Neodiprion lecontei: one gene and its partner. The protein of the gene in region 1 purifies or fractionates together with the protein of each later gene. This does not show direct contact. Links are inferred from orthologs where the notes say so. Each region holds a gene or a part of one and is shown in the gene's direction. Other genes may lie near its edges.

What was found.
Region 2: the proteins of serine/threonine-protein kinase mTOR (region 1) and regulatory-associated protein of mTOR purify together in Drosophila melanogaster (affinity purification with western blotting; 3 studies listed by BioGRID, with this or other methods). This does not show direct contact. The link is inferred for Neodiprion lecontei from reciprocal best matches to the Drosophila melanogaster genes mTor and raptor.

Annotation. Positions count from the first base shown.
Region 1 is NC_060260.1:29,830,819-29,847,477, forward strand, and holds the start of serine/threonine-protein kinase mTOR, read left to right. Parts: upstream 1-9,515; 5' UTR 9,516-9,604; intron 9,605-9,761; 5' UTR 9,762-9,871; coding exon 9,872-16,100; intron 16,101-16,178; coding exon 16,179-16,321; intron 16,322-16,405; coding exon 16,406-16,546; intron 16,547-16,659. Other genes in the region: sarcoplasmic calcium-binding protein 1, read right to left, coding at 1,024-1,127, 1,444-1,573, 2,657-2,832, 2,950-3,001; pre-mRNA-processing factor 6, read left to right, coding at 5,246-5,340, 5,454-5,513, 5,608-5,734, 6,001-6,551, 6,624-7,404, 7,634-7,849, 7,961-8,302, 8,433-8,776 and 1 more. UniProt on the Drosophila melanogaster protein: Promotes cell and tissue growth, maintains tissue homeostatis and controls responses to environmental stress and aging. Regulates growth during animal development by coupling growth factor signaling to nutrient availability. Central regulators of autophagy.
Region 2 is NC_060264.1:8,291,577-8,308,599, reverse strand, and holds the start of regulatory-associated protein of mTOR, read left to right. Parts: upstream 1-8,461; 5' UTR 8,462-8,828; coding exon 8,829-9,029; intron 9,030-9,143; coding exon 9,144-9,246; intron 9,247-9,587; coding exon 9,588-9,829; intron 9,830-9,968; coding exon 9,969-10,115; intron 10,116-10,420; coding exon 10,421-10,605; intron 10,606-10,689; coding exon 10,690-10,749; intron 10,750-10,862; coding exon 10,863-10,963; intron 10,964-11,043; coding exon 11,044-11,177; intron 11,178-11,457; coding exon 11,458-11,841; intron 11,842-11,922; coding exon 11,923-11,997; intron 11,998-12,094; coding exon 12,095-12,352; intron 12,353-12,455; coding exon 12,456-12,599; intron 12,600-12,737; coding exon 12,738-12,990; intron 12,991-13,574; coding exon 13,575-13,616; intron 13,617-13,864; coding exon 13,865-14,010; intron 14,011-14,186; coding exon 14,187-14,281; intron 14,282-14,371; coding exon 14,372-14,477; intron 14,478-14,552; coding exon 14,553-14,716; intron 14,717-14,797; coding exon 14,798-14,968; intron 14,969-15,168; and 8 more. Other genes in the region: uncharacterized protein LOC107222111, read left to right, coding at 706-762, 1,092-1,325; sodium-independent sulfate anion transporter, read left to right, coding at 2,456-2,465, 2,662-2,888, 2,974-3,169, 3,337-3,557, 3,658-3,826, 3,910-4,074, 4,157-4,318, 4,394-4,534 and 4 more.

The DNA of each region.
Region 1 (16,659 bases):
CATCTCCTTGGAAAAAGTACGCGCGTAGGAAATTTTTAAAATACCGAGGATAAGTCTTCGCGTTATTTTATCCAATTTTTAGATATTACTTTTTATGTTATTTAGTTGAAACTTAAAAAATATTTGACCGTTGCAAAGCAGTGACTTCCTTGTGAATTAAAAAAACTGTTTTCGAAATATATCTGCGTATAATTCGGATTTTGCATTCTTTGGATAAAATGAATTCTCCGTATGAGGTGCATATCACTTTATAATTATTTCACGACGTTACAGTATGTGACTTATACGTTGCTCTATGTCTGAACCCCTTCGAGAAAATTCACCCGGGACTGTAATGAAGGAGTTGCAAATAAATGTAAGACCAATTGTTTCCGTGACGATGTTGTTTCGAATAAAAATATTATCTATAAACAAGGAGTGTTTGATTATATGCGTGACTGAGGTGGTAAATGATCCGGTGACTATTGCAATTCTCACAAATGATAGATCGTGATATTTGTTCTGCTTCGGGCACTTGGCAAAGCTTCAATCTATTGTTCGAATTCTCAGCCAAGACGTAATGGTACCAGAAACCTAGAATACCCCACATCTCATTCCATATTTTTTCATTTTCGAACAAACTCACTCAAAATTTCGCGTAGCATTGGTTTGATTTACGTGTAACGTTAATCGTTCGTCAGTGTTAATACTGTCGTAGCTCCGAGGCAGTTGCCCAGTAAACCAACACGAATTGAGCATGACAAAAATGGAATTAAAACAAATCAAATGGAATTGAAAAGAATCGGCACACAGGTCTGTTGATTCTATTCAATTTGTTTTAATTCGTGGCAATTTCGTTTTTGACTAACACAATTCATTTCAATTCGTTTTGGTTTACTGGGTGAATAATGAGATATTTTCAAGTTCAAATTTGGGTTTGCATTGCGGTTATTACTGCACGACTTATTGAGAATAAACTTGCTCTGAGATTACTTATTCAAATCAATTATATTTTCGATAAAATATGAATAAAAAATTCCATACGTTAAGTAGACTTTGATAAGCATCGTCAAGAGCGTCGATGTTGTCAACTGGAATTCTCATAACACAATTATAACGAAATTCGTCGGCAGCGATAACTCCGTCGTCTGAAAGAAGAAGAAGAACATTCATTCTCATTTTTAGACTTGTACGTGTACAGAATCGATGTAATAAGTGAAAAATAAAATACATCAAGAAGGCGTGACGCGCAGTTCTCGGGTGTCGAATCTATTGCTAGTAGTTTCCTACGAAGCCTACTATCTCACTTATTTTTAGTTACTGCAGTTTATAATATATTCGTGAGTCAGCTCGTACTGTGAACGAACCGGTAAAAATGTTTTCACTCCCAAACCTGAGATATAATAAATTATTCAATACATCGGGAGGTGAAACCCTCATTTTTGCATATTGCCCTACTCTTACCGTTTAAATCGACCAGCTTGAAATGACTGTCTATGAACATTTTCATCGCTTGAGGGAAATCACGATAAGGTCTTCCCATGCAGCTTCTTTGGACCGCGACTTTGAATTCTTCTGTCGTTACTACTCCATCCTGATGAAATTAAAAATTAAAACAGTAACACATTCTCACTGCATTTATATTGACTACTGTCTGCTTTCAGGATAAATGGCTTTCTAAATTTGACCTGATGGATCAGGATTCACTAGGCTCGTGTGTAAACGGCATTGTGCCAAGAAAACATCGATGGAAAAAATAAATAACTTCTAAACATATTCGATTTTTCAATTATGTCATATTGTTTTCAATTATATACTTATGTCTGTGTATAAATTCACCGGTAGATAAATATGCAATTTAAAACCCCTTACTTGTATTTGTACAGGTATAAATATTCCAACAAAATTACCATTTTTGTCCATCAAACAAAATTCATGACTATTGACAAATATAGTAAGAACATCCATATGCTAAGAACATTCATAGAAATTCACACTTGGGCTACGTGTACATATGAGGGAATATCACTGGTAAATTATTAAATTGGATAATTTATAGAAATCATAAGAAATATGGATTCCGAACGAAACTGTATAGTTTTAACCGGAGTCATCGTAACGACCATAGTCGTGAAAATTTTGCTATCTCCCCTCTGAATTAGAAATCTGTTACCACTCGTGTGTATACAAAATTTTTCTTATCAACCGGATTTCATGCTGGTGGAAAGGGCTCTAGTTTCACCAGACAAACGACAATTGAATATTTTCACACGTAATCGATTAATATTAAGTTAGATTTACGTGAATTGACAGAGTTAAAGTGATGAATATTTGTGAAATACATACAAGAATTACCGAATTTATTTTGGAAAATAGATTTCTGAATTTTATCGCTCGAGACAGTGGTTCGTTAATTTTCAAAGTTATTACTACAGTTTGAGAGCAATCGAGTGATCATGATTTTACAGATTGGAATAAAATTTCTTGCAAATTTATATTGTTCTCCGTATCGTAAGAATTACGAACAGGTATAGTTATCAAAAACTTACTACAGGTGACACATGGATATAAAAATTTTATGTTACCATTATACGTATATGATAGTTACAACTTACGTTACCAATTACAGAACGACAGAAAGACAGCAACGTGCTTAAAATTCATGTCGATGACTTACAAATTCTACCTTATTGAAATCCGCAAGTTCAGCGATTTCTTCCCACAGCGAAAGCATGACGTGAAGATTTTCTTGATAGTGATTATAGTTGAAATCACCTTTACCCTCGACAAGGGTCATTTTTAGAGCCATACACTCGAAATCATGCTGATCCAGCACCCCGTTGTTATCTATGTCTGATTGCGGAATAAATCTTGTTAAATACGACATGTTAATACTCTTCCTCAATTCCGTAGTACGGAAATGTACGGCTACGATTATTGTTTCTCGTGTAATGTAAAAATTGTACTAACCGTAAAGGAACTTTACTATGAAGCTGACTCGATTATCCCAACTGTATGCCATATTTTATTCGATAATGAAACGCTGTAATTTTTCTCAAAGAATGCGACTAGTTATTCAACAAACAAATATATATTACAAATTCAATGCCGTTACTATTTGTACAAACCCGTGAATTTTCGAATCCAAAATATCTTTCGGGAATTAAGGTACAAATCTGCGAGCAACGTTCGTCACACCGAATTCATGAATACTGAACACAATCTGAGACCGCAGCTGGATGGTCTAAGTTTAGATATGCTTGAATATCGGTAGCGGTACTTGAAATTGGCGACGAGGGATACTGTGAGGAAAAGTTAGACGTATCCTCTGCACAGGTGGTGGATGATGGGTGGAATCGTAGCCGTTTTGTCTGGTTGTAAATTACCGATTACGTTCAACTTGTAGTTATGCGGTTGAGATCGGCTGTAAAGGCTTTTCGCGCCGCGCCGGTTGTCTGATTAATGTTTCTTCTAACATTTATATCAAATGCGAACGAGACGTCTTAACAAGACCCAAAGACGCACGTATATGTCTGTCCGCACCGCGGTTCCGGGTTAATTTATACATACCTACATTCGTACGAATTACCGTCACATTTGAACGGTACAGGCAATTGCATATGCGGAAAATTATAGGGGTTTCATGCAGTGCGTGACATAACGCGTGTAAGTGTAGGTATGTGTGGAAACATGTACGACATGCGCGTAACAGTTTTGTGATAACGCCGCAACGATAGTACGGTTTTATAGATGGTTGCTAAAGCGAAGAACGAGTTGATTGATCGATTCGATAATTTAGTTCACTAATTCGTGTCCGCGTACCAATTGACTAATTGCCTGCTACCGGTCATCGCGAAGGCGTTACACTGTTACACACCAAACTGTCTGTGGCCGGCTTTAAATAAACTTATTCTACATTCTATGTATATACTCTCGGCTTAATAAGCCGGTCGCCCATGCACGATGTATACAGCTATTGTTAGGCGTATCTAACAATAAGTATATGAGCATATTACCACAACTATACCCGTGTAAGCCAAAACAAGTTGACCGGTTCAATGATGTTTAAATATGTTTGATTGAAACAGATTGCAATAAGAGTCGAATTCAATGTAAAGGCAGGCAATAATAAGATGGGAAAGAGGCTTCAATCGGTCACTATATTATGTGGCTGCCGATCGAACTATTATTTATTCAGTCGCTCACAATCAGATGCGATGTTAAAATAATTGCAATAATGCTAAACTGTTTGATATTTGCAAATCTGTAAGTTTCGTACAATACGGTCGTTCCGACAATCCTGAAAATAGGCCGAATGTTGAGCGAGCTTTACTTAATTCACATGGCGTTGATTCGATTGAAATATTGCGCTTTACAGTAGATGTACCCGTAGCCTGGATTGTCTTAAACTAATCACTCATGGAATTGAATATTTCCATACCGCTCGAACGATGCGGGACATGAAATACTCTTCCGTCAATTTGATTTTTGATTTAACTTACACCTAGTTTTAAATTATAAATAGACCGACACATTTGCCATCCTGTATACAAAACATAAAGAAGAAAGTGGTCTCGACAGTAAGCTGGCTGAAGTGTTCTAGATCTGTCGGTTTACGTCACATTTCAAGCCTGAAGTACTGCTCTGTGATTTCTAACATCGGTTCTAGGAAATTTAACTGAAAAATGACACGTCTGAATAGTTCTCAGTACCAGGGATATATCAGATTATTTTACCAAGGGGAATCGAGACTCCTAAACAAAAAACCTCGTGGCCAATTATCATGCGTGCCAAAATCTAATTAACAATATTAATTTTACGTACGGATAATGATAATTGAGAGCAAATTCGCTAAGAAGCTATCGACAACAGCCGTATTTAAATAAAATTGATCGCGAGACCTCTGTATGTTAATACTGAATTTCATACATGTAAAAATTTGATATATGTATCAGAATGTAAGAATACAATTTACTTTTAATATGGCGTGAATTAGCGATGGTACCTGTGAATCCCTTAATTAAGGCCAAGAAAAATACACAGTATAGTTTCAACAATTGTTAATAAAAATTGAAAGTTAATTGTTGGGAATAAAAATTGTAAGTATAGCACCGAATTTTTCCGAGGGATTTGCTGTATCTCGTGATGGAATTGGCAAAACCAGCCTGTGTCGGGTAAAGCTGAAGATTCAAAAGTAATCCATTATTTCAGTGTTTACCGCTTGGCGTCGTGTCGTCACGCAGCGATAGTGTAGAATGTAATAAACATGGCGGTGCCATCAGCTTCGCTTTCAACGCGAAATAAAAAGCATTTTCTAGGGGTTCCAGCACCCTTGGGCTATGTCGCTGGTGTCGGAAGAGGGTAATTTCGATTAATACATTTTTTAATTCATAAATATTACCTTACCGGCGAGGAGAAATTGACGTCTACGATTTAGCGACGTTTTTAACCTCGCTTTTTATTTGTGTTTACAGTGCGACAGGTTTCACGACTCGTTCTGATATCGGTCCAGCTCGCGATGCCAACGATGTTTCGTAAGATTTCTCACTTTAATTGCTAATTAATTTCTGCTGATTGACATCATGTTTTAACTTCAACTCATTATTGTAATTTGTAAAAATTTTACAGTGACGATCGACACGCTCCACCTACCAAAAGAGCTAAGAAAAAGGAAGAAGAAGAAGAGGATGAAGAAGATCTCAACGATTCCAATTATGACGAATTCTCCGGGTATGGAGGGTCGCTGTTTAGCAAGGTACGGTATTGTCTGACGAGCAAAGCGCTGAAGATTCAAGTTTACCTCCTATAGTATTAGCAATTCAGTATTACTGCGAATAGATTTAATTCATATTTGTATTTCAATTTGCAGCATAAGTTCATATTACCCTAAGTAAATTGCATTTTTCTTTATATGCTAATCTACACTTGAAATATAGACCCTTTTGCCAGTTATTTTCCTAATCTGGGCACAATAGAATAACTTTATTACTTTGAACCTCAGGTGATTTCTTTTCTATCCAGGATCCTTATGACAAAGATGATGAAGAAGCAGATGCAATTTATGAAGCGATTGATAAACGCATGGATGAAAAGCGGAAAGAATATCGTGAAAAGCGCCTAAGAGAAGAACTTGAACGTTATCGCCAAGAACGGCCTAAAATCCAGCAACAGTTTTCAGATCTGAAGCGTGAACTGGTTAATGTGTCTGAGGATGAATGGAAAAATGTTCCCGAAGTTGGCGATGCGCGTAATAGAAAACAGCGGAATCCACGAGCTGAAAAGTTTACGCCTTTGCCAGATTCTGTTTTAGCAAGAAACTTGGGCGGAGACACTTCTACTAGTATAGACCCATCTAATGGACTGGCTTCCATGATGCCTGGCCTAGCCACACCTGGTATGTTGACCCCAACCGGTGACTTGGATTTGCGAAAAATTGGACAAGCTAGAAACACGCTTATGAATGTGAAACTGAATCAAGTATCAGATTCTGTTGAGGGTCAAACAGTTGTTGATCCCAAAGGTTACTTAACGGATCTACAAAGTATGATTCCTACTTACGGTGGCGACATCAAGTAAGTCTCATAAAAAATTTTTTCACCAGTTTATCCATTTAATTTACAATACAATATTGAAATTTTTTTCAGTGATATAAAAAAGGCCAGATTGCTTTTGAAATCCGTTCGTGAAACAAATCCTAATCATCCCCCGGCTTGGATAGCATCTGCCCGCTTAGAGGAAGTTACGGGTAAGGTTCAAGCAGCAAGAAATCTTATCATGAAGGGCTGTGAGGTGAATCCAACTTCTGAAGACTTGTGGTTAGAAGCGGCGAGGCTTCAACCTCCGGAGACGGCAAAGGCCGTAATTGCCCAGTCTGTACGTCACATTCCAACATCTGTTAGAATCTGGATCAAAGCAGCTGACTTGGAAACGGAAGTTAAGGCAAAGAGACGTGTTTATCGAAAAGCCTTAGAGCATATTCCGAACTCAGTACGGTTGTGGAAAGTAGCTGTTGAGTTGGAAGAACCAGAAGATGCAAGAATTTTATTGAGTCGAGCAGTTGAGTGTTGTCCAACAAGTGTCGATTTGTGGCTCGCCTTGGCCCGATTGGAAACTTACGATAACGCGAGAAAAGTTCTTAATAAAGCTAGAGAAAATATTCCAACGGATAGACAGATTTGGACGACTGCTGCTAAACTAGAAGAAGCTAATGGCAATAAGCATATGGTAGAAAAGATCATTGACAGAGCAATTAGTTCCTTGAACGTTAACGGAGTTGAAATTAACAGAGAACACTGGTTCAAAGAAGCTATGGAAGCTGAAAAAGCTGGTGCTGTCCATTGTTGTCAAGTCATTGTCAAGTCCATCATCGGGTTTGGAGTTGAGGAAGAAGATAGGAAACACACTTGGATGGAAGATGCAGAAACAGTAAGTACAGTTTATTATCTACCATTAAATATGAAAAATCCTTTGGATCAGGTGACATATTTGGTTCTGAGTAATCGATTTTCACACAGTTGAAATAAATTGTGGCAGTGGTTTTTTAGTTTTAACAAATTTTACTGAAAAGCTACTAAATAACTTTGCTTCGGAACTATTTTTAATAAATCTATACAAGTACAGTCAATTTGAACAATATAAATGCAATTATTTGCAGTGTGCACAACAAGGTGCTTTGGAATGTGCTAGAGCAGTGTATGCTTATGCTTTAGCAACTTTTCCCAGCAAAAAATCGATCTGGCTGCGTGCAGCATATTTTGAAAAGAGTTACGGAACACGGGAGTCCTTGGAAGCGCTACTCCAACGGGCTGTGGCTCATTGTCCTAAGAGCGAAGTTCTGTGGCTCATGGGTGCCAAGTCTAAATGGCTTGCTGTAAGTAATCGGTGTTATACTTCATCCTCTTACTTCAATTAAGTTTGTTACACGTATTCAGTATCAATAACGTGTAACTGTTGAAATATATATGATTATTTCTATATCAAGGGTGACGTGCCAGCGGCAAGAGGTATTTTGTCATTGGCTTTCCAAGCCAATCCAAATTCTGAAGAGATTTGGTTAGCTGCAGTCAAGCTTGAGTCAGAGAACTCCGAATATGAACGTGCCAGAAGATTGTTGGCAAAAGCTAGAGCATCAGCGCCAACTCCTAGAGTTATGATGAAAAGTGCCAAGCTTGAATGGGCTCTTAATAATCTAGAAGCTGCACTGCATCTCCTCCAGGAAGCTATAGAAACTTTTGAGGATTTTCCCAAGCTTTGGTTAATGAAGGCTCAAATAGAAGAGCAACAAGGGAATCTTGACAAAGCTCTGGAAACATATAATCAAGCTGTGAGTAAATCGTTTTTGTTATTCTTCCAGCGTGATAGTTTGAAGAGTTCGAAATGTGTAATTTTGAAACAGATCATTTCTTATATAAAATCGATTGAAGTATGTGAGAATTTACCTGGTTGTTTTGCAGATCAAAAAATGCCCCACTTCTGTGCCATTGTGGTGTTTGTTAGCTCAACTTGAACAGCGTAAAGGTCAAGTGACAAAGGCTCGTTCTGTACTTGAAAAAGCACGGCTTCGTAATCCGAAAAATGCGGAGCTTTGGCTAGAAGCTATTCGAAATGAATTGAAAGGTGGAGGGGTGCGAGACATGGCTAATACGTTGATGGCTAAAGCTCTGCAAGAATGTCCTACGTCTGGTCTGCTATGGGCTGAAGCAATCTTTATGGAAGCACGACCACAACGGAAAACGAAGAGCGTTGATGCGTTGAAAAAATGTGAACATGATCCCCATGTTCTACTGGCAGTCTCCAAGTACGTAGGAAACCCAGATTACGCAAGTTCAGCGAGATATTTCACGTTTATTCAATTTCTCCTAGTTTGGGGAGCTGTTTGTCGTTATTAATTATACATCGTATCTGTTGCAGGCTTTTTTGGTGTGAGCATAAAATATCCAAGTGCAGAGATTGGTTTAATCGCACCGTTAAGATAGATCCTGATTTAGGGGATGCTTGGGCGTATTTTTATAAATTTGAGCTTTTAAATGGCACTGAGGAACAGCAAGAGGAAGTCAAAAAGCGATGTGTAGCCGCAGAACCGCATCATGGTGAAAATTGGTGCAGAGTATCTAAAAACATTGTAAATTGGTGTTTAAATACTGACCAAATATTGACCGTAGTTTCTAAAGACTTACCGATTCCTATCTAAAACCGAGTGTCAAAATTGAAAATAATACCGTATTTATAAATATAGATTACTGTAAATGTATTATACATATATTATGTTTAGGATGGTAATATTAAACGACATTAAGTACGAATTGTTTACGTACCTTCTTGATTTAAATATCATACATAAAATGCAGCAAAAATTGAAAATTGAGCTGAAATTTGACAGCATCAAATCTCAAAATCTTGTCTATGCACAAGTTAAAATTCACCAATAGAAGCTGGGCCACATATCAGATTCTAGCTTAGCGAATAAGTTCACTAAATCTATTATAGAGCCACCATGAATAATGGGAGCTGCCTTACGTATTTACTTTATATCACTTTATATTTACTAAAAATGGCGCTTGTGGCTGATAGCGTGATTGCGCCGCGAATTAAAAATACGTGTTAACCAAATAGATGATTGAATAACGTGAGTAGAAAATTTAGGTGTCGTCGCAACGTTACATCTAACGTTATTCTCATTTATTATCTCGTAAATTCTTTACGTTTCACACTACGCGTATCATCACGGCAACTGTGATTCGAACCTAACCTATACATACTGACCAGTTTTTTAACTGTTTCAGGTGGACATCGGGCAATGTAGTATCCCGATGTAAAGATTTAAAAAACAAGTGTCACATCTCGTAATTGAACGTTTTTGTCAAAAAGTGAAAACTAATATATATTTTAAAACATGACGCATTCGCAAGTGCTGGATTTCGTTCAGCGACTTAAATCGCGGCACGAAGATGTTAGGATTAAGGCGGCACATGATTTATCTCTTTACGTCAGAACAGAGCTACGTGAAGTCTCCCAGGAGGAGATGACAAATTTTATGGACGAATTCAATCACCACATAAAAGAAATGGTCTCTGGTTCTGACATGAATGAGAAGAAGGGAGGTATACTAGCCATAGTTTGTCTAATCGGTGCTGATGGTGGTAATATAAACACTCGTACTATAAGATTTGCAAATTATCTAAGAAATCTATTGCCGTCGAACGATGTTGGAGTTATGGAATTGGCTGCAAAAACTGTTGGGAAACTCGCACTTGTCTCTGGCACCTACACAGCAGAGTATGTCGAGTTTGAAGTGAAACGTGCTTTTGAGTGGCTTGGCGGAGACAGGCATGAGGGGAAACGACATGCAGCTGTCCTTGTACTGAGAGAATTAGCCGTCTCGATGCCGACGTATTTTTTTCAACAAGTATCTCCGTTTTTTGATCTCATATTCAACGCGATACGTGATCCCAAACCGCTGATACGAGAAGCTGCTACCGAAGCTCTCAGAGCTGCTCTGGTTGTCACCGCTCAAAGAGAAACTACAAAGCAAATGCATAAACCGCAATGGTACAAAGAATGCTTTCACGAAGTTGTACAATGCTTCAATGATGCTGATGTTAAGGGGCGAGGGTCCAACAAGGATGCCGCTATTCACGGATCTTTATTAGTTTTGAACGAGTTATTGAGATGCAGTAACGCTCAGTGGGAAAGAAACTATGAGGCGTTGATGGAGAGACTTAATTGCTCTACTCAACAGATGGATGATGATATTCTGTCTCTCATTCCTCGTCTCAAAACTCCGATTGTACCAAATTGGACAGGCCCAGTTCCAAGTCGATCCAATACTCTGCAGACAATTCATCCGGTTCATGAATCTGCCGCTTGTCGCAGTCTATTACAGGAGGGCTTGGATAATATTTACGCAGATGTTATGAACCAAAAACTATCAAGAAATCCTCATATACAACACGCGCTGATGACGCTATTACCACGGCTGGTTGCTTTCAATAAAGAAAAATTTGACAAGCATCACTTGGCACAAAGTATATCGTATCTTTTGATCACTTTAAGAAGCCGCGAAAAAGATAGACATGCAGCATTTACAACTATTGGATTAATTGCTGTTGCAGTTGAGACTGGCATAGAACCTTATCTTCCGGAAATTATGGAAGTGATTAAAGCTTCTTTACCTTCAAAAGAAACGCCGAGTAAGAAACGAGGTACCACACTTGAACCGGCTGTATTTATCTGCATTACTTTGCTAGGGCATGCTGTTAAGCAAACTATAGGGCCAGATATAAAGGTTCTCTTAGAGCCAATGCTTGCCACTGGTCTGAGTCCAATTCTTACAACATCATTGCGCGAATTAGCTCATAGTATACCATCTTTGAAGCCAGATGTTTCTCAAGGATTATTGAGAATGCTGTCACAAGTACTGATGCACAAACCACTGCGACATCCCGGTGCTCCGTGGTCAGCTACAAGTCCAATTTCAGCTCCAACTGCAGAAGCTGACCTTCCTTCGACGGTGCTTGCGCTGAAAACACTTGGTACGTTTAATTTTGATGGAAATCCTTTACTCCAGTTTGTTCGGAGATGCGCTGACCATTTCTTGACATCTGAACAGTCTCAGGTCCGTTTGGAAGCTGTGAAAACATGTTCCAGGCTTTTGAGGCTAGCATTGAATCAACCAGGGCCAACGGTTACCAATACAGTTTCTACAGTGCTAGGAAAATTACTAGTCGTCGGCATCACAGACACTGATCCAGATGTGCGATTATGTGTCCTCGCGTCGCTTGATAAAAGTTTTGACATTCATCTTGCTCAAGCAGAAAGTTTGTCAGCCTTATTTATTGCGATGAATGATGAAATTTTTGAAATCAGAGAACTCGCCATCTACACAATTGGGAGATTGAGTACTATGAATCCAGCCTACGTTATGCCTTCACTTCGGAAAACGCTGATCCAATTTCTAACAGAGCTTGAACATTCTGGTATGGGACGTAACAAAGAACAGGCTTCGCGGATGCTCGATTATTTAGTAATTAGTGCTCCACGACTCATTCGACCTTACATGGAACCTATTTTGAAAGTTCTCATTCCGAAGATGAAAGAACCTGAGCCTAACCCTGGTGTTGTCTTGGCTGTACTTAAAGCGATTGGTGATTTAGCAAGTGTTAATGGTGCAGAAATGCAACAATGGATGCCGGAATTATTGTCAATACTACTGGAAATGTTGGTCGATGCCAGTTCTCCAGACAAAAGAGGTGTCGCCTTGTGGGTTCTTGGCCAGCTGGTTGGAAGTACAGGACATGTAGTCAAGCCATACACACAATATCCTTTTTTACTCGATGTTCTTATTAATTTTCTAAAAACTGAGCAATCACCAGTTACCAGGAGAGAAACAATCAGAGTACTCGGACTCCTAGGTGCCTTGGATCCCTACAAGCACAAAATGAACCTTGGTCAAATAGATTCACAGTTTGATTCACTAATGTCCATGGCTGATATTAGGTGTAAAAGTGATGCCGAAACAAGTCAAGATCAGTCGACTAGCGAGATGCTTGTAAATATGTCGACTTCAACTCTGGAGGAATATTATCCAGCTATTGCGATCGCTACTCTCATGCGCATCATTCGGGAACCCACCTTATCTCAGCATCATACCATGGTTGTGCAAGCAGTAACATTCATTTTTAAAAGCCTTGGTATAAAATGCGTACCATATATTTCTCAAGTTATGCCTAGCTTTTTGAACGTTGTTCGCACTGCTGATATTGGATTTCGAGAATACTTGTTTCAACAGTTGGCTGTTCTTATTGCGATTGTTAAACAACACATTCGGAATTATTTGGATGACATTTTCGCTTTGATTAAAGAAGTGTGGACTGTGAATAGTCCGTTACAGAGTACGCTTATTCTTCTTGTGGAGCACATCGCTGTTGCTCTGGGTGCTGAATTCAAAATTTATTTACCACAATTGATGCCGCAAATCTTGAGAGTACTGACACATGATACCAGTAAGGATCGTGCGGTGACTGTCAAGCTGCTTCTTGCTTTGCAGAAATTTGGAAACAATCTTGATAATTATCTGCATTTGGTACTTCCGCCAATAGTGAAACTATTCTATGCTACAGATTGCCCAATTTCGGTTAATAGAGTTGCGCTGGAAACTGTCGACGACCTTGCTGATACATTGGATTTCACTGATTTCGCTTCAAGGATAGTGCATCCGTTAGTAAGAACATTGGACACATACCCAGAACTAAGGATGCCGGCAATGGAAACTCTCTGCGCACTTTTAATTCAACTTAGAAAGAAGTATCAAATTTTTATACCATTGGTTCAGAAGGTAATGACTAAACACAAAATCACTCATCAACGCTACGACGTACTCACAGATAAAATTCAAAGCGACTCTACCGTAGCTGATGGCGAAGACTATTTACTTACACGTCCTCGAGACTCAAGACGCCAATATCGCGATTTATCTTTGACATCTTCTGATACCACAATCATCAAGCGTCTTCATGTGTCAGCACCCAATCTACAGAAAGCCTGGACAGCCACGCGCAGAGTCTCCAAAGATGATTGGCTAGAATGGCTCCGAAGTTTGTCTATCGGATTGCTCAAAGAATCACCTTCACCGGCATTAAGGTCATGCTGGGCGCTTGCTCAAACTTATTCACAGCTACCAAGAGACTTATTCAACGCAGCTTTTGTGTCATGTTGGACTGAACTCAGTAGCACATATCAAACGGAGTTAAAAGAGACCTTGCAGCAGGCACTAATGGTGCCCGACCTACCGGAAATCACACAAACTATTCTGAATTTGGCTGAATTTATGGAACATTGTGACAAAGGACCTTTACCATTAGATGCCAAGTTACTGGGTGAGCGAGCCATGCATTGCCGAGCTTATGCTAAGGCGTTGCATTACAAAGAAGATGAATTCCACGAAGGCAGAAACAGCAATGTTTTCGAGTCACTGATTTCTATCAATAATAAACTCCAGCAAAAAGAGGTTGCTGAAGGATTATTGGAATATGTTATGAAACAGCAGAATCAACAAGATCTTAAAGTGCAAGTACGTTGGTATGAGAAGTTACACAATTGGGATAAGGCATTAGATTTATATAAAGATCGCTTAAACATTGATCCAACTGACGTAGAATCAACCTTAGGCGAGATGAGATGCTTAGAAGCACTTGGCGAATGGGGGCAGCTTCATGATGTTGCCACCCGACAATGGGCGAATGAAAATGACGAAAATAAACAAAGAATGTCTCGAATGGCGGCAGCTGCTGCATGGGGACTTGGGCAGTGGGAAAGTATGGAAAAATATGTCAACTTCATTCCTGAAGACACCCAGGACGGTGCCTTTTATAGAGCAGTGTTGGCTATACATGATGAACAGTATGATGTGGCCCATGAGTTGATAGACAGTGCAAGAGATTTATTAGACACAGAACTGACTGCGATGGCTGGAGAAAGTTACCAGAGAGCTTACAACGCCATGGTGGAAGTTCAGAAGTTAGCTGAATTAGAAGAAGTAATACAGTTCAAGTTAATTCCTGAGAGGAGAGCAACAATAAAATCAATGTGGTGGGACAGATTGCAAGGTGGACAACGTGTCGTTGAAGATTGGCAAAAAATTATTCAAGTCCACACACTGGTCGTTTCTCCACAGGACGACATGTACACATGGCTGAAATATGCTAGCCTTTGCAGAAAAAATGGCAGTCCTATGTTATGTCATAAGACATTAGTTATGCTGCTTGGAATGGATCCATCTCAGAATCCTGATCAACCATTGCCAACAACGCATCCGCAAGTCACATTTGCTTATTGTAAACACATGTGGATGGCGAATAATCGAGAAGCAGCTTATAGTCAGTTGCAAAGATTTGTGCAAACGTCATTACAGCCGGCAACAATATCTGTGTTAAATCAAGAAGATGAGAAACAGCAAGAAGCCAGGAAGAGATTACTCGCTCGGTGTTACCTAAAACTTGGAGAGTGGTTGGAGGCTTTGCAAGGAATAAGCGAGCATTCTATACCAGCTGTGTTATCTTACTATGCAGCAGCAACAAAACATGATCCTTCATGGTATAAAGCTTGGCATGCTTTTGCTTATACAAATTTTGAAACCGTTTTGTTTTACAAACATCAACAAGGTGATACCAATCTCGATAACGTACCTGGTAATGCATCAAGGTCTGCATTAGCCAGCTCTCAATACATTTCTCAGTTCACTGTACCAGCAGTCGAGGGTTTCTTCCGGTCTATTAATTTGTCACATGGCAGTTCTTTACAAGATACGTTACGATTGCTAACGTTATGGTTTGATTACGGACAATGGCCGGAAGTGTATGAAGCGATTGTCGAAGGAATAAGACTAATTGAAATCAATACTTGGTTGCAAGTAATTCCTCAGCTCATTGCGAGAATAGACACTCCTAGAGCCTTAGTCGGCAGATTAATTCATCACCTGTTAATTGATATTGGTAAAACTCATCCGCAGGCATTAGTTTACCCCTTAACAGTAGCTTCAAAAAGTGCGAGTCCCGCTCGTAAAGCTGCCGCTAATAAGATACTAAAAAATATGTGCGAACACAGTCCAACGCTGGTGCAACAAGCTGTATTAGCTAGTGACGAATTGATTAGAGTTGCAATACTGTGGCATGAATTGTGGCACGAAGGCTTGGAAGAAGCCAGTAGATTATACTTTGGAGAACGAAACGTCAAGGGAATGTTCGATACCTTGGAGCCTCTTCATGCGATGTTAGAACGAGGGCCGCAAACCTTGAAGGAAACATCATTCAATCAAACTTACGGAAGAGATTTGATGGAAGCAAAAGAATGGTGCCACAGGTATAAAATGTCTGGAAATGTGAAGGACTTAAACCAGGCATGGGATTTGTATTATCATGTGTTCAGAAAAATATCAAGACAGTTACCTCAACTAACAAGTTTAGAATTACAGTATGTTAGTCCAAAATTGTTGGTTTGCCGAGATTTGGAATTAGCTGTACCTGGTAGTTACAATCCTGGACATCCAGTTATCAAGATTGCCAGTATCCACAGCTCGATGCAAGTTATTACTAGTAAGCAACGCCCTCGGAAACTTTGCATCAAAGGTTAGCATCGAAACAGTGCCATTTACAAAAGTATTTCCATTTGAACGATTTGTTAATTCTTTTCATTTATCTCCGTAGGTAGCAACGGTAAAGATTATATGTTCCTATTGAAAGGTCATGAGGACCTTAGACAAGACGAACGTGTTATGCAGTTATTTGGTCTAGTCAACACACTTTTGTTGCATGATCCTGACACATTCAGGCGGAATCTTACAATTCAAGTGAGTTAAGAAATCTTCAAACAAATAGTAATTTCTTCGTACTTGAAATTCAAATGTTCGTATGCTCCTTTGTTTCATGTACAGAGATATGCTGTAATTCCTCTATCAACAAATAGTGGGCTTATTGGCTGGGTTCCTCACTGCGATACGTTGCATACGCTGATACGAGATTATAGAGAGAAAAAAAAGATACTACTGAATATTGAGCACAGAATAATGTTGAGGGTAAGCATGCTTTTTTTTACAATTTCACAATATTTTCTGCTTCATCAATATTAAATGTGAGATAAAATAAACTGCTTACAATCTATGCTTATTTCTACAAAGTTGAATTATCT
Region 2 (17,023 bases), on another chromosome or scaffold:
ACGACTTATTTACATTCTTGACATTCACGGAATAATGACTTACAACTCTATTATAAAAATCAGTCGGTAAATCACCATTATAGGACAAGCCTATGTACGAGTTCTTCAGAATTTCCTTATTATGGAAACATAGCTTTTGTACGAACGTTAGGCACATGATAAGATTCATTTTACTTGCGTCTTTTTGTGTAATACAACTATCAGACAAAATTTGCATCGAACAATTTGTTTCTATACGTAGCAGTAGGTAACAAAATTCAAAACAGAAGCAATGAATGGTTGTTCAACGGATTGTCACTAACATTTCAACATGCGAAAATTATCAAGCTCTCGTAGCAACTGCAGTTGAGAACAGAGTTCTCATTGTATAATGTTCTCGTCTGTAACATGTATAGATTGTTGTAGCTACAGCCTGAGATACTACTGGATAGAAGTGCTGCCTTATTTCCTGCAGCTTTGGCCTATTATTTGTCTAAACTGATGAGCTATTAAAACTGCTTTGGGTATAGAGTTTCCTACAAAATTTATTCAAGTTAACTGGCATGCTTGCAATATGAATTCAATGGCTTATGGGTACCAGCAATTATTATACTTTACTATGTAAAGCAATAAATGATGATACGTTTATTCGTGTTAATTAAATTCAGCTGCATAAATATCAAAATTCGAACAGATACTTCTGCAGGTATTGGATATTTTTTTCAGAAAATGAACAAAAGCAAAAATCTTCGGCAACTTTTACCAAAAGGCAGCATTTCTAAGGTACAGCTGTTAAAGTCCCTTCTGTAAATAAGTTTATTTGTAAGACAAAATATCAACACAATCTACACAGAATTGAATACTTGCAAATTGCCAACGTATGTTCATTCTTAATTTTCAAATAGACGTTGACTCGAATTGTAATGTGAATTTGAACAGCTATTCATTACTTCCAGTTTTCCTGTTATACCAAATTTGGTTTATATTACATATAGAATTCGTGCTACACATTTGGTACCAAGGAACACTGCGAATCCATTTCAGCACAATTTTTAAGAAACTGGCTCAGGCACCCAATACTTTTGCCGTTCTTATGAACTCTCTCAATTTAGGTGTTCGATGACGTCGCCGTTGAGCTGACAATGGCACTTCTACAGTACTTCAACAGCAATCCATCCGAGGAGCAATTATTCCGTTGTATGAAAGCACTGGCTCGCTTTACGCAAATCAGCGGACAGGAAGTACCACAGCTAATTCAAATGATTGGTCCGGAACCGAACAAGTTTCGCGGGGTCTCTCAAAGGGTGGACGAACTAATAGACCAAGTCAATAAGAAACTGCGTTAAACTTGTTATAAATTGAAAAAAATATATAATATAATTTGGATATATATTAAATTATGGTTTTTCAAATGATACTATTAGTTAAAAGGAACGCCCTGCAATTAACAGGTCGTCATTTTAAACCAATTATTATAATAATAAATTAACTGATATCAATTACACGGTTGTATATTAGATAAAAAAAAAAAACTCAATGCGAGAAAAAGCACAACAGAGCTGAAGTTACGTATTTACCTACAAATTCTGAAGCATATGTGATAGAACAATATGTTTTATTAGCATGTTAATGGATTTTTACAGCGATATAACAGAGTATTATGTTAAAATTGAAACCGAGTGCTTTTTTTTTTACTTGTAATATATAATAAATCTAACACAGATACATTATGATTTATACCTAGTTGGTATTAACATCAAGTTAAAGATATTCGAAATTACTTACGAATAAAAAGTTTTTTGATAGAATTTTAATACACATAAATTCAAGTCACTAAGATATTTAACGATAATCGAATGCATTTTATTTAAGCAGATTTAATAATTATTCAGTATTTCAAATTTTTTTTATTCACGATTTGTATACTATTTTCCTATAAATAATCTACCATTTGATACATCATAGTGATTGTAATTATAAATAGTCACCGAATTCAGTTGTCAAGTGCTGTGCAAATAGTGATGTGCAATAAATCATTAAAATCGCTTTGTTTCTTGCTGTTTTAGATGATATTTTCTTACGAGCATCATAACTCATAAAACTTTTGTGTGTACAAGGATGGCGAGAATGCTGCTGTACATACGGTTAAATGCGTTATAAATGCCTATTCCTTACAGATGCAGACTAATATACATGAGTGTGGAAACGTATTTTTTATCATTAGGTAAAAACCTTATCAATCCAGTGGCACTTTTCTAGGTCATAAAAATATCGCGAATGGAAGCTTTGCAAGGTGTGAATTTACGTGGATTTCACTGTTTAATGTTGACTCAAGTCACCCAGATAAGAATTATTGACGCACTTACACCGTAGAGATGCAACATTCGATTTATATCATTATATCTCTTCGTGATATACCAACGTGTTCTTCGCATAAAACTTCTATCAATATCCATTCCAAGTATCACCGCTGCGAATGTCTAATTGTAAGTATCAAGTTTAGATATCCGTCAAAAGCCCAAGTCATATTCAAAACGTTTGTGAACTATGTCGATTGCTCTGCCCTGTATGGTATTTTATTATTTTTCTAATAAAAATGTAATTATCCAGGTACTGTATGTTGGAATTAAAATTTGGATTTACCTCCAACTTGCTATGTGCTAATGTTTGAATTTTTTAAAGTAATATCAATGAAAGGATCGATTACGATCGAGGAAGAGGAAGATGAGGATAAAGTTGAATCTTCAACCTGCGTGGATAAAATCTCCCGATTTATACCTATACTGGAATGGTTTCCACGATACACACACCTCGATGCGGTCTCGGATTTAATTGCAGGGATAACACTAGGGCTGACCATGATTCCTCAAAGCATAGCATACGCTGCGTTAGCTGGAGTGTCTGCTCAGGTATGCACAAAATTGAAATTAAGAAAATGCGATGTGGTAAAAATTAATCGTTTTTCATTGTATTGAAAATAAGTTTCTTCTACAGTACGGACTCTATTCTGCCTTTGCGGGTAGTTTGATTTACATATTTTTTGGAAAAATCAAAGAAGTATCCATTGGCCCTACTTCTTTAATGTCACTCTTGACAAATGAATATACCCGAGGCCTGCCGATAGACTTTGTATTTCTCCTTGGTTTTCTCTCCGGATGCATGGAATTACTATTTGGACTGCTTAACTTCGGTTCGTGATGATGAAAAAATGACGAATGTACAATTAAATTGCCTGCAGCGTTAATATCAACAAATTCGTATAGTATAAAAGTTGTTAATTGAACAGCATATTTTATTATGTTGAAGTTGCGTTCGTAAACGTCGAATATCGACACAGATGATGTTTAATTCTGACAGGATTCTTGGTGGATTTTATCTCGACGCCTGTTACATCAGGATTTACCTCAGCTACATCGGTGATCATTATTCTCGGACAACTAGAAAGACTGCTTGGTCTTGAATACAAAACGTCTTCCAATGTCGAGAAGATTTTTAAAGCATTCCAGCATATTGGTGACATTCGAATTGGTGATACCCTGATCGGTGTATCAAGTATCATATTTCTACTGACATTCAGGGTAGAGAAAATCTTGTACTATTTTTTCCTGCAGCTTTAATTAGTGGAACGTTTGAAAAATTTTGTCACATACCTCTAAGAGAGATAATTAATTCTTACAGAGACTCAACAATGTGAATCTACGCTGTCGCCTGAGTGAAAAAAAGCAAAGATTTGTGAAAAAGTTATTGTGGTTTCTTTCCATCGGTCGCAATGCTCTACTCATATTAATCACAACCATTATTGCGTTTATAATGGAAAGAGCTGGCAAATCCCCTTTCGTACTTTCCGGTAAGTTTATCAATAGTTTTTCTAAGTCTATTCTGCACTATAAACTGACAGACGCGGACTCCTTTCTCAATTCATGTTCACAGGTAAAGTTGAGCCAGGGCTTCCATCTTTTGGTCTACCTCCGTTCAGTACACAAAACGGCAATCAAACATATACCTTCGTCGAAATGTGCTCGCAGCTAGGATCTGGAATTTTCATCATTCCTCTAGTTGCTGTGTTAGCTAATGTTTCAATCGCTAAAGTGTTCGGTAAACTATTCTGTTTGTAAATATAATGAAAAGTGATGGATTTCAACTTCTGATGTTCTTAATCAAGCGAACCTGTTTCAAGCAAGTGACAAGGGAGTCGATGCAGCTCAAGAAATGCGCAGTTTGGGTTTGTGCAACATATTTGGTAGCCTTGTCCAGTCGATGCCAACATGCGGTGCGTTCAGTAGAAGTGCAGTGAGTAATTCAAGTGGCGTAAGAACACCCTTGTCTGGTCTCTATGCTGGTAAGTCTTCTAAATATGATACAAGCTAAAACTGCATAAAGTAACTAACGAATATTTTGTTTCTTGTGATTACAGGGGTCTTGACTTTGTTAGCTTTGAGCTTCCTTACACCCTATTTCTATTACATTCCACGAGCTTCGCTAGCCGCTGTTCTTATAGGCGCAGTGATATTCATGATAGAATGGAGCATAATTCCAATACTGTGGAAAGGAAATAGTGAGTTACAATATTTCTCCAATCACCATAAATAACCAAATGATTAAGCTATTCCTTTTTTCACTAAATTCATGTCCGTTAAAGGCTTATAATTATTTCATTTTTAGAAAAAGACATGGCGGCGACAATTACTACGTTCGTTGCATGCATTATATCAGTTGAATATGGACTGCTGTTCGGAGTCACGTTGAACATACTCTATCTGCTACACGCGTGGGCAAGACCAAATATAGAGATATCAAAATGCAAGGTGCGTAATCGACGCCTCTGCTTGATAATCAAAACGGTTTATGAGATTCCCAGTTAAATCTAATTGCCACTCTAGCTTTCCAGAATATATGTGTTCAGCAAAATTTTCTCATATGGAGACTAAACGACTGTTTTTATGTTTTCCACAGACTGCTGACGGGGATAAATACATCCTAATAAAGCCAGACATTGGATTATATTATCCAGCGGTAGATTTTTTACGTAATAACGCAAATCAGGCTGCAGTGAAAGAAGGGAAAAATATACTTCCCGTAGTTTTGGACTGCGATGGCTTCAAAAGCATTGATTACACAGGGATGAAGGTAAGAAAAATACTTTCTGCTGAATTCCGTTTGTATAAACTTTTCCAAATAAATTATGTTTCGTAGAAACTATTATGCAGAATACTTTTCAACAATACGTCATCACTTAACTTTAAAGAAGCTGTTGGAATATGTTATCCCACTTTTCTAGTGCATCGAAGCGATGATTAATGACTTTGAGAAGAAAGGGCAGTGCTTAATGTTCATACGCCTGAACGCAAAAGTGTTCAAGAAAATTGAATCACTTGGTGGTATAAAAAATCTAAGACATGCAAAGAACGAAGAGGATATCGTTGGTAAACTTTTCTGTGAGTACAATGCTGGATAAATATATGAACACGTTGCCAGGAAGTAATAAGTTTGCAGCGTTGACTTTACAATCTGCATACATGACTGTAAACGGCGTGTGGTATCTTAAATTATGATGCACAATTATAATCTTTGTGTAACTGACTTGTTTAGATTTATAGCGACTCATTTCGAGTTCTCTTCACATATCTGGTGAATTCTGCAAATCTGCTAACCTTGCATTTATTATTTCTTTTCAACCTCATAGTCGCATCTGATCTTATATAAATTATATTCAATAGTCCAATTTTTTATGCATATATCCTATACTTTTCAAGTAAATGGCAGCTTGCACCAACTTTCATTCAGTCATCCGGCATAAAAAAATCGAGATTTATTTGCTATTTTCAAATCTCATTTTGCGTAATAAGAGGTGATGAAATATTAGAAAAGTATTAAACCTGTAACATTTTCTCTGTGAGGAAAAACTTTTATTTCTCGTGTTTTGAATGGTTATTCCGGCTTGCAGGTGATTCATAAGGAAAGATAGGAAAAAGGTTTTCGAGGCCAGAACTACAAATTTTATAAAAAAATATAAAAAATATCGACGCCGTGTATTTCCAAGTACCACTGAACGAAAATTCGTTTTTATTTTTCCCTTATTGAAAGTTTGAGTCCTTGAACTTTCGATAAAACCATAAAATGACTGCAAAATAAATATGACAAATTTTTTAGTAGTGTTTTTTACTCGATTAAACATATTTTTTCAAATAGCTCCGTCCAATTTAACGTTAAAAAAACTCCCCTTGCGACATTTACATGGATAAGTTTCTAAGAAGTGAATTTTATAAAATGATGAATTAAGAAAAAAAAGTATGCACAATAACTTATATCTTAGATACTATCAAAAGTAGCTATTATTACTATGACTTAATTTTATGTTAACTTGAACAAACTTTTTGAACAAAGAAATACTGGGTTTAAAAAAAACGCCCAAAAAATTTTATTTGATAGCCATTCTTGTTCAAACCCAATCTACGAAATTTGATTTTACAGAAAGAAGGACATGAATTTTGAAGCGAAAAATAAGAATCAATTTTCGTTCTGTGGAAATTGAAAATATACGCTTTATTCGTCAACACGTGAGTTTTTCAAGAGCAGAAACCACCCCCATGCAGGAACTGATCTTTTTTTGAAAAATTTGGACGCTTTTACATCGATGACAATTTTTGTGTTTTTTTTTCGTCCAGCTATCTGCACATTGCATCTCAAAAATAATTAAAAAAAGATCAGTCCCTCAATTACCAAAATATGAAAGTTTATTTTTCCTCAAAGATTTGGAACTTTTGAGGTTGAAGGTTTCCTCACCCTAGTTTTTCAACACATGCAATAAAAAGTGAAAATGGCAGACAAATCTAAAATTCGGTTCTGAATTAGGGGGGGAAGAATGATGGATTGAGCGAATTACAGTTCCGTGCAGTACAGTAAAATTTCTATTTCAGATAATACAGTTGAAATGACGAGAAGTGCAACAGTGCCAATTTTTGAACAGACGAAAAGTGAAACAGCAGACAATAATACTATAGGAATAACACAGGCTGGAAGAGATACAGCAGATAATCGAGAAGAAGAACATGAAGGCAAACCTTTAGTGAGTGACTATCAAGCAGTAATAAAGGAGTTTGAAACATCTGAAAAATAAAAATTGCAAACAAAACCACCCGAGTCATGAAGAAATAAGGATTTGGCATCTATAAAATTGTTTCTCTTGACTATAATAATGTGTGAATATGCAGCTCTCAATGCGATGCAAAGCAAATTCTGCTGCTTTTACGACTTTCATATTTTTTTTTTTTGTTGTCAATAACACATTTACATAAAGGAAGAGACACCATTTGTCTACCCTATTTCAAATTCTATACAGACTTGGGTGAAATAATCAGAAGACCTTTTGAATTACGAAGAAACTTAAGAACATGAATAGGCTACCCAGTAAACCAAAATGAATTGAATGGAATTAAATACACCCAGAAACAGAATAAACGCGAACTGAAGCGAACTGAAAAGACTTATGTGCTAATTATTTTGAATTTATTTTAATTCGTGTAAATTTTATTTTTGCCGTACTCAAATCAAGTTGGTCGACTGGGTGTGGTTCTTTTATTCGCTTATCTACATTTATGTGTAATTTTTAAACATCCGCAAGATTAAGGTGTTGACTTTGAAATACTTTCAAAACAAGAGTGAGCAGTAATATAAGGATATTATGACATTGGTCAACATATGTTATCATTCTGCTTTGAGCAATATTAAACTTAATGATGTAGGTAGTAGAAGATATGGTAATTATAATGGTACAGTAAATCATAGAGTAAATAGTCTTCAAAATCTCTGATATTCAAATAGTCCTACAGCAGGAGGAAACAGAAACTCATTGTCAAAAGCAGTTTCTTTGGGACTGGTTGACATCAACTTCTTAGACTCTAATATGTGATTAAGAAAGAAAAGCACGATTCTTTGTAAATATCATAAATATGGTAACTATATAACAATGAATACATGCTCTACAATTTTTTTTCCAAATACATCAAAATAGCTACGTAGCACTTAGGTATCTGCGAACAAATAATATGAATTATTTATTGAATCCGGTTGTAAACAGACAAGGAGACATGTCCGTGAAACCTTACGTAATAAAAATAAACTGATCACAAAGAATTTATATTCATCAAGTCAGAATCAAAAATTTTCTAAGTATTGTAATAAAAATTGATTTATCTTTCCTAGTTTTATACATTTTTTATTACGGAAGCAATGATAAGTCGGCACCGAAATGCAATAAAGATTCAGCCTTGTAAGACGTTGAATCATAGTTCAGAAACTCAAAATAGGAAAGAGTAAACAAAATTAAATACAGAAGATTTATAAGGAGATTTAATGCAAGTGACGAGTAACTTGGAGTGGTAAAACGTCGTAATAAATGTGTACCTATGCGTATATGGGTAGCAGCCATAAGAGTGTAGAAACCTGTGTTACCGACAGGGGAAAAATTAGACAGAGAGGGAGAGAGAAAACCGTGGCTTACCGTGGACCTTGCGCCGTCCGCGTGGTCATGAAATCGTGTAGCAAATTTAAGAGGGAATATATAAGAAAAAATTGAGAAAAAAAGATTTCAATGGGTGAGCCGTTGATAAGATTCGGTGATGGTTAGTCGGAGAAAATTGAAATAATCAATCCGACGCGAAGACAGGTTTAATGTCAAGAGCCCGAGCTGAGGATGGAACGAAAACAGTAGCGTGTAACACAGGCGTAATCAACATGGTGGCTCATAAAATAAACTTGCGAAGGCGTAATAGCGTGGAGATAATTTGAGCTGTAGAAGAAAAAATTGGTGAAATGCGTTTGTTGATTCTGTAAAGAAGTGTCATCAATGTATGGTTACTGGTGATTTATTTTACTCGCCAACAATGTCGGAGAGCGTGGATAACCGAAACGGGAACAAACACGATCAGTATAATAATACACATCCAGACGACGTCGACTGGAAATTACCAATCGCTTTCAACAAGCCGAGGCACACAGCGACGATTGAAGGGGTTAATTGCATCACGCAGACATGGCGAATGAAGGAACGGGTATGTTTTTTGACAGATATCAACCCCATCGGCTGCATATTCTGCGTCAAATATTAATCGATATAGTCGAGCGGACCATGTGATCTTGTCATGACCATGATGTCACACTTCCAGATGAAAACTGTGAGCGTCGCGCTCGTTTTATGCCTCAATGTTGGCGTCGATCCACCGGACGTCGTCAAAACTCAACCCTGTGCTCGACTCGAGTGTTGGATCGGTATTTCATGACTTTCCTTTATTTATTTACATCAACGTTCTTTGTCATGCCAATTATGTAACAACCACGGCGTACTTAGGTTATGTTGTCTTTTCTCGCCTCGTGTAACCGCTCCTTTTGTCCGGTCGATAATGCAGGTTTTTACTGAAGTTTCAATTGATTCAATGTTTGATCAAAAACTCATTTATTCATTAATACTGAATGCCGATAAAAACGAATGTAGTGTCGATGATTACTTCAATCTAATGCCTTTCATGCAATGTTTAAACATTCAAACTACCAACATTCCAACCCCAGATACTTTTTCACTCCGATTGTAATATGATACATATTATGGGCAGACCCACAGTTGATGAGCCCACAAAAGGCTCTAGAGATGATTGGAAAAAACCTTCAACTGCAGTATGAGCGATGGCAACCACGTGCAAGGTACAAGCAAAGCCTTGATCCGACTGTCGAGGAAGTAAAAAAACTATGCACGTCATTGCGCCGCAATGCCAAGGAGGAGAGGGTTCTATTCCACTATAACGGTCACGGAGTTCCTAAACCCACCAGCAATGGAGAAATATGGGTTTTCAACAGGGTTAGTCGTCTAGCAAGCTTGATATTTCATTGCAGAATCGTAAATCCTTTCCAAATATCACAATAAGTGAACCATCACCAATTACCACGGATTATAAAATATCACTGTAATCACTAACCAGTTGTATTTTTCTTTTCAGACATACACGCAGTACATTCCTCTGTCGGTGTATGATCTGCAAACATGGATGGGAGCACCTTCTATCTATGTATACGACTGTTCAAATGCTGGAATCATCGTTGATTCCTTTCAGCAGTTTGCTGAACAGCATGAACGGGAATACGAGGTCAAATTACTGCATAACTTACATATTTAATGTCAGAGATACATGACTCTCAAGTGTGAAAACAATACTAGCATTGCTCAAGTTGAATTCATTCACTTAAGAATTTGAATCTTAGTTTCGACCAGAATATCATATATTTCTATGAATTGCTGTAAATGCCAATCACTGGTTCTATATTCTCACATTTTTTGTTCTTCATGCACACATCTTTAGTGTCGGTTTAAAAACTTTATGTACAGTGAAGTTTCAAATTACGGAAGGAGAACATACTTTTTCGCCGACATTATATTTTCTTTTTTTCACAGATGGAAAAGCAGGCAGTTCAGCACAATAGGACGGCGGGCGTAGCCAGCGCGACTGCCCCTTCTTACAAGAATTGTATACAGCTGGCAGCTTGTGCTGCTAGTCAAATACTTCCGATGAATCCTGATTTGCCTGCAGATATATTCACAGCTTGTCTTACAACTCCCATTACAATTGCATTACGCTGGTGAGATGAATAAACCATAGTATCTAAAACTGTTGTAGTGGTAATTGACTGGTATAAATCTGTCTTATTTAATCTCGTTTACAGGTTCGTCATGCAGAATACATCAAAATTAGTGCCTAAGGTGTCCCTAGACCTTATCGATAAGTAAGTTCCACATGTCAACTGTCCTAAATTTTTCACACAATATGATAGTAATGAAGATGAAGATTGATGTTTATTTTATTTATTTATTATTATTATTTTTTTTTTTTTTGTAGAATACCAGGTCAGTTGTCAGATCGCAGGACGATGCTAGGCGAACTAAATTGGATCTTTACGGCTATAACAGACACCATTGCTTGGAATACGTTACCTAGAGGTATATCAATACCTCTTTTTCTAGAAACATTAGATGTGGATACCAGTTGATTACTCAAAGGACTATTTTGTCTTTTTCAGATCTGTTCCAAAGATTATTTAGACAAGACTTACTAGTAGCTAGTTTATTTAGAAACTTTTTGTTGGCGGAAAGGATCCTTCGATCCTATGACTGTACACCTGTTTCATTCCCAAAACTACCACCAACGTTTCAAGTGAGTAACACTTTGGACCGAATCATTCTTATGTTAATGATCGAGTTCTTACAAAAACAAAAAGGAACTGGCTCAGGACGTAATAGCTTTTAAGATAAGCTTCTAACATTATTTATATCTGGCAGTTGAATTTGACAGTAAATCAAAACACAATTCGAAGATATTTAAGTCTATAATGAGCAAATGGTTTCGTTATACAAGTCACAGGTACAATCACTTGAAATTAGTTACCATATCCATAACTGAGCCGATAATAGAAATGAATTTCTTTTTTGTGCAGCACCCAATGTGGCAGGCTTGGGATTTGGCTCTTGACCTCTCTTTAGCTCAACTAGCAGCGGTATTGGAATCGGAGACTTTATTTGTTCACTCGCCATTTTTCGAAGAACAACTCACAGCCTTCCAAGTATGGCTTACGTTAGGTTCAAAGTCTCGCAACCCTCCCGAACAACTGCCAATTGTATTACAAGTATTGCTGAGCCAAGTACATAGGCTCAGAGCTTTGGAGTTGCTTGGAAAGTTCCTTGACCTTGGACCATGGGCTGTAAACCTAGCCCTAAGTGTTGGGATATTTCCTTACGTTTTGAAATTACTACAGAGCAATGCAAGAGAATTAAGACCCTTGTTAGTTTTCATATGGGCAAAAATCCTTGCGGTGGACAGTGTATGTTCAACGTCTGTTTCATTACTATATCTATATATGAATCAATCAATTGTTTATGAACTAACTAGTATAATATTATAGACGTGTCAGGCAGATCTAGTGCGCGACCATGGACATAAATATTTTCTTTCCGTTCTTCAAGATCCTACAATACCGGTAATTTGTTATGTATAGCTACTACCATTCCTCTGGCATTACAATCTCTATGACTTGTTAATCATAGTTTTAATCTTTCTCATGCTCGATTTCTTAGAGCGAGCACCGAACTTTAGCTGCGTTTGTCTTGGCTAGTATCGTAAACAACTATCCAGCAGGGCAGGAAGCTGCTCTGAAAGGTAGTCTTGTGTCAATTTGTCTGGAGCAACTAGGTGACCCAAATCCTCTACTACGACAGTGGCTATGCCTGTGCCTTGCCAGACTTTGGCATAATTATGATGCAGCTAGGTGGTGCGGAGTCAGAGATATTGCGCATGAAAAACTCTACACTCTTTTGCAAGATCCAATACCTGAGGTGACCTTATGACCTTATGAATGACCTTATTATTCTACAGTTAGTTGTCCCTAGATTACATCTATTTTATTTCAGTTGTTTACTCAAGTGATTTGTTTCTCAGGTCAGAGCAGCTGCGGTCTACGCTCTAGGAACATTTATAAACAGTGTCACTAAAAGAAGTGAACATGCCAATAATATTGATCAAATTATCGCCATGACGCTTATAAATACTGTTAGTCACGATATGAGCCCTCTTGTGAGAAAGGTATGTGTTATCCTTATTCATTCAATTATTCTTTATATTATCAAGCATAGAGTAATTGGTTTAAATATATCACGATTGACATACATGTGATTTCTAGCCAGGAAGTCTTTATCTAACGGTTTTCGTTTTTATTCACAGGAATTAGTCGTCGCTTTGCAATGGATGGTGCTACATTTTGAAAACTCGTTTGTAACTTTGGCAGTTGCTGAAGAAAATAGTAGGCGGGATCCAGTCGTCGAGACTTTATCTCCATTCACAGGTATGCGTCGGATCGGTTCGAGAGATAGATTAAAAATTCTTTCGCCAAATAACGCTTATGGCACGGATACGACAGATTTTAGCCAAGATCGCATGAAGAGAGTATCGTCTTCTTCGTCCATCAGTAGTTTAGGTAAAGTACTTGTACAACGTTTCAACTGTTTACTGCTTTCATGATTTAAATCAAATCATTTTTTTTTTGTTTTTTAAATGCATATTAAATTTCACGACATCTTTCAAATCGGAAAAAGCGTTAAAGATAAGTTTGTTATGTTCCTAAGCTCACGTAATTGAAGAATTTATATTCTTCGGAATTTTTCTAATTAATAAATATACTAAAAAGTGACTCAAGTCTGATCATATGATTCACACCGGAAAATCTTTGAGCCAAACTTTAGACATATTTGCTCTGTTAATTAGTAAACGATTATCAGGACACTCTACTCATCTTACAGCTATTGTGATTGGAACTCGATCTCCTAGGATATCCAAAAGGTGTTGAAACGAAGAAAGCTGTAGTCTATAAAAATTATATCAGTTATTTTAGCATCTCTGAAAAAGAGTTTCAAAACTTTGAATTGCATAAAATATAGCTGAAACCCCAGAAAAATTGATGACGTTACTTGTTATTGCAAGGAACGGTTCGCTTAATAAGTTGCAGTTTTATTTTAAGACTAAGTGTCTAACAGCTTTTCTTTTCAACTTTTGGCATACCAGGAAACAACTGGGAATTTGTAAGAAAACCATGCGAATCAATCGGTAATAATTTGTGCAAAACATAATCATATCGTAACCGAATGTCTTGATGCATGTTTGGCGATTATTTTCTAAATTTAATTTAGAGTTGGTGGATTATTAGAAATTTTTTTTCTTTTCTTGCATGCAGTTAGTGATCAGTTGAAGTGAAGGAAATTCATAATCACATTTGAGATTTTCTTACTGTAGAAACCATATATGTTCGCAAGATAAAATAGATTCGGCTAATCTGTCCATCACTTTTTGTACAGGTCAATCATCATTTGGTAATCTCCCAAGCTTGTCTTACGGAAGTGTGTACATGAAATTGTGGCATGGCCTCTGTAGCCTCGATAGTGATCCGCATCCTTCGGTCGCTACAATGTCTCAGAAAGTTACGAACCACATTCGTAATCAGGTAAAATTCCCACACATAGTATCAGCTCTCAGTTCAGTGCTTGTTTTTTAAACACAATCCATGATGCTGAAAATTGCTTTACACCATCAACAGTACAAATTAGAATTTTACATGATGCAGAATTTGACAAATAACATTTTTATAAAAAGCAAAGTCTAAAAATGTTGAATATCCAGGTCAAAGAATGTTCAGTACCAAAAGAGGTAACAGAGGCAAAGCTACCATCAATCTCCCTTCCCCCGTCGCCATCTAGTCGAGCTAGCTTTCTGACGTGAGTAAAAATTGATACGAAAGACACGAGGATCGTTTCACATAATTAAGATAGTCAATTTTCAAACTTGAAATTATTTTTTTATCCCAGTAAGGGAGAGTCTCTTCCTACAGTCAGCGCTACCTCGGAAATTCTACGCCCTCCAAGGGTACCACTACACGGAAGTCGGACGAGAAAAACACCTCCGATTAATACAGTAAGCTTCTAAATTGCTGCCTTGATATAATTCATGTTACTTAACAAAATGGAACTGTAACTTGCGTAAATTCAGATAACTGAAGAGGCTGATGAGGTTTTGGGTTTCAAAAATCCATTGACAACGTCCTTATTCGTCGAATGGAGTTGCGCCCAATTTGCTCAACCGGTCAGTTTAGAGAGTGAAACAGAATCCACCAATGACATAGAGAGTAGAGCTCACTATGAACGGGAGTGGAGGTAATAAGTAATTTAATTTTATACCTAAAACTGATCTCAAATTAATTTCGGTATTGTAACTCGTGGAATTATAATCACTAGATATCTTCGAAACAAGAAACAACGAAGAGACGCAAAAGAGGAACAGATCAGAGTTGCGCGAGGAAGATTAGAGTCTCAGGTCTTTCATACACGAAGCCCTCAACCTCCTGAAGTTGTTACTTTCCACCCATTTGACAAGCATCTGGCTGTCGCAGCAAAAGATTGTTTCGGGTAGGTTTCTTAAAATTTTGTTTATCTAACGAAACTTAAGGAGTCGTTAAAAATCATTACTTTGTCATTGAAAAATTGATATTCCCGTTTTATTTTTACAATGCCAAGTAGTATGATTAAATCTTGAGCCCACAATTATTGTCAACTATTTCACATCTTTACCTTAAGTTGAAGGATTAATATTATTCGTTATTGTGTAGAATATGGGACTGGCAAACCGGTACAAGACTTACATACTGCACAAGCCGCGGGAGTAAAATGGCTCGTGTAACTGCATTAGGTTTCATAAATTCTCACGACGTAGCACTTCTGATGACTGGATCTGATGACGGCTCTGTAAGAATATGGAAAAATTATTGTAACATGTTGGGTCGTGACCCTACGCTCCTCACAGCTTGGCAAGCCTTAGCAGATGCACAACCTGCTTCAAAGAGTCCCAGTGGTAAAACCGTATTTTCAATTTTGCAATTTATATCACTTTGGTACCTGCCAGATCGTTAAAATCACATCAGAGCATAGTCTCCAAAATAATTTTGTTATTCACGTAGAAACACTTGAAACTTAAATTAAGTAAAAAAATTTTCAATTCATTGTAAACTATCTTTCGATACTTCCAACTTTATTCCAAATCAGCTTTCACTTCAATTCAAAATGAGTGATGAACAGTCAAATCTCACTATATATTGTAAGTAGCTGGTGTCCCTGGTTCAACAGTACACAATTCAGCTTCAGCCGGCCTTATCACCAGCTGGGAACAGCGCTCGCTAACACTAGCCGTTACTGGGGACGTGCGCATAGTGCGACTCTGGGATGCTGAAACCGAATTGAAGAAACAAGATATACCCACTGGGGCGGACATCTGTGCTACATGTCTAGACACGGATGGTTCTGGTGAGTTCAACGTTTTAAACTAAATTATCAATCACATGCAACTGCTAACGTGCATTTTTATCTAACTTCAATACGTTTATTCGTTCGAAAATTAAATTGTTTGACCATTCAAATGAATATCAAAGGCACCTTGATGGCTCTGGGATGCGGTGATGGATCGGTGCGTCTTTTCGATCGTCGGCTTCCACCTCATGAAGCAAGAGTGATGACATGGAGAGAGCACACAGCCTGGGTTCTTGGTGCTTACTTCAGAGGTACGGCGACAGGTGCCCCCCGACTCATCACAGGCTCATTATCTGGAGATATTAGATTCTTCGATCTCAGAAAGAATTCATCTGTTAACACAGTTCAAACCGCCCAAGGAATAACTGCCATGGCTGTTCACAATGTTGCCGACATTTTTACCTGGTGAGTTCTATGAATTGTAGAGAATTATCATCGTTCTTTGTAACTGCCAAGGGTAGAATTATAGTAATGTGAGTGAGAAGTTTATTGCACTTCTGAAACACCTGTGAAGAAGCCATACCACTTTTTAAAATACAAGATACACCTGGAGTAAATAAATGCTAATAAAATACATACAATGCTTTTCAGTGCATCTATGAACCAATGCATCAGTGTTTACAATATGTCAGGCCAAAACTTGAACGCAATAAAGTCCTACGAAGGTTTCATGGGTACTCGAATCGGTCCAGTCAGCTGTCTCAACTTCCATCCATACAGAGTGGTACTGGCAGCAGGCTGCATGGACAGTTCCGTATCCGTTTACGCTTCTGAGCCGCGCAGATGACTATCGGAGATGGAGCTGGTATAGGGATACATCCAGCAAGCCGTAGAAATATTGCATCAGACCCCATCCCTATTTACATTTGAGTAAGCCTGTGGTATTACGTAAATATGTTAAAATTTCTCGAGCGTCCATCATGTGGTTCCTTACTATAAATTTGTAAATACCTACATATATGCTTTACCGTTAGCTTTTATCTACCTGTGTGGCAAAAGTCGAGTAATGATGTTGGAGCAAATGTCAAAACAGGTGAGAATTTTTTATTTATTTTTATCTTTTTTTTTCTTCTATTTCATAGTCACGTCTACTTTTCTTTCACAACTTACAATGCAATAGCGATCCAAGTTCTATCACTTAATCAAAACACGTTATTAATC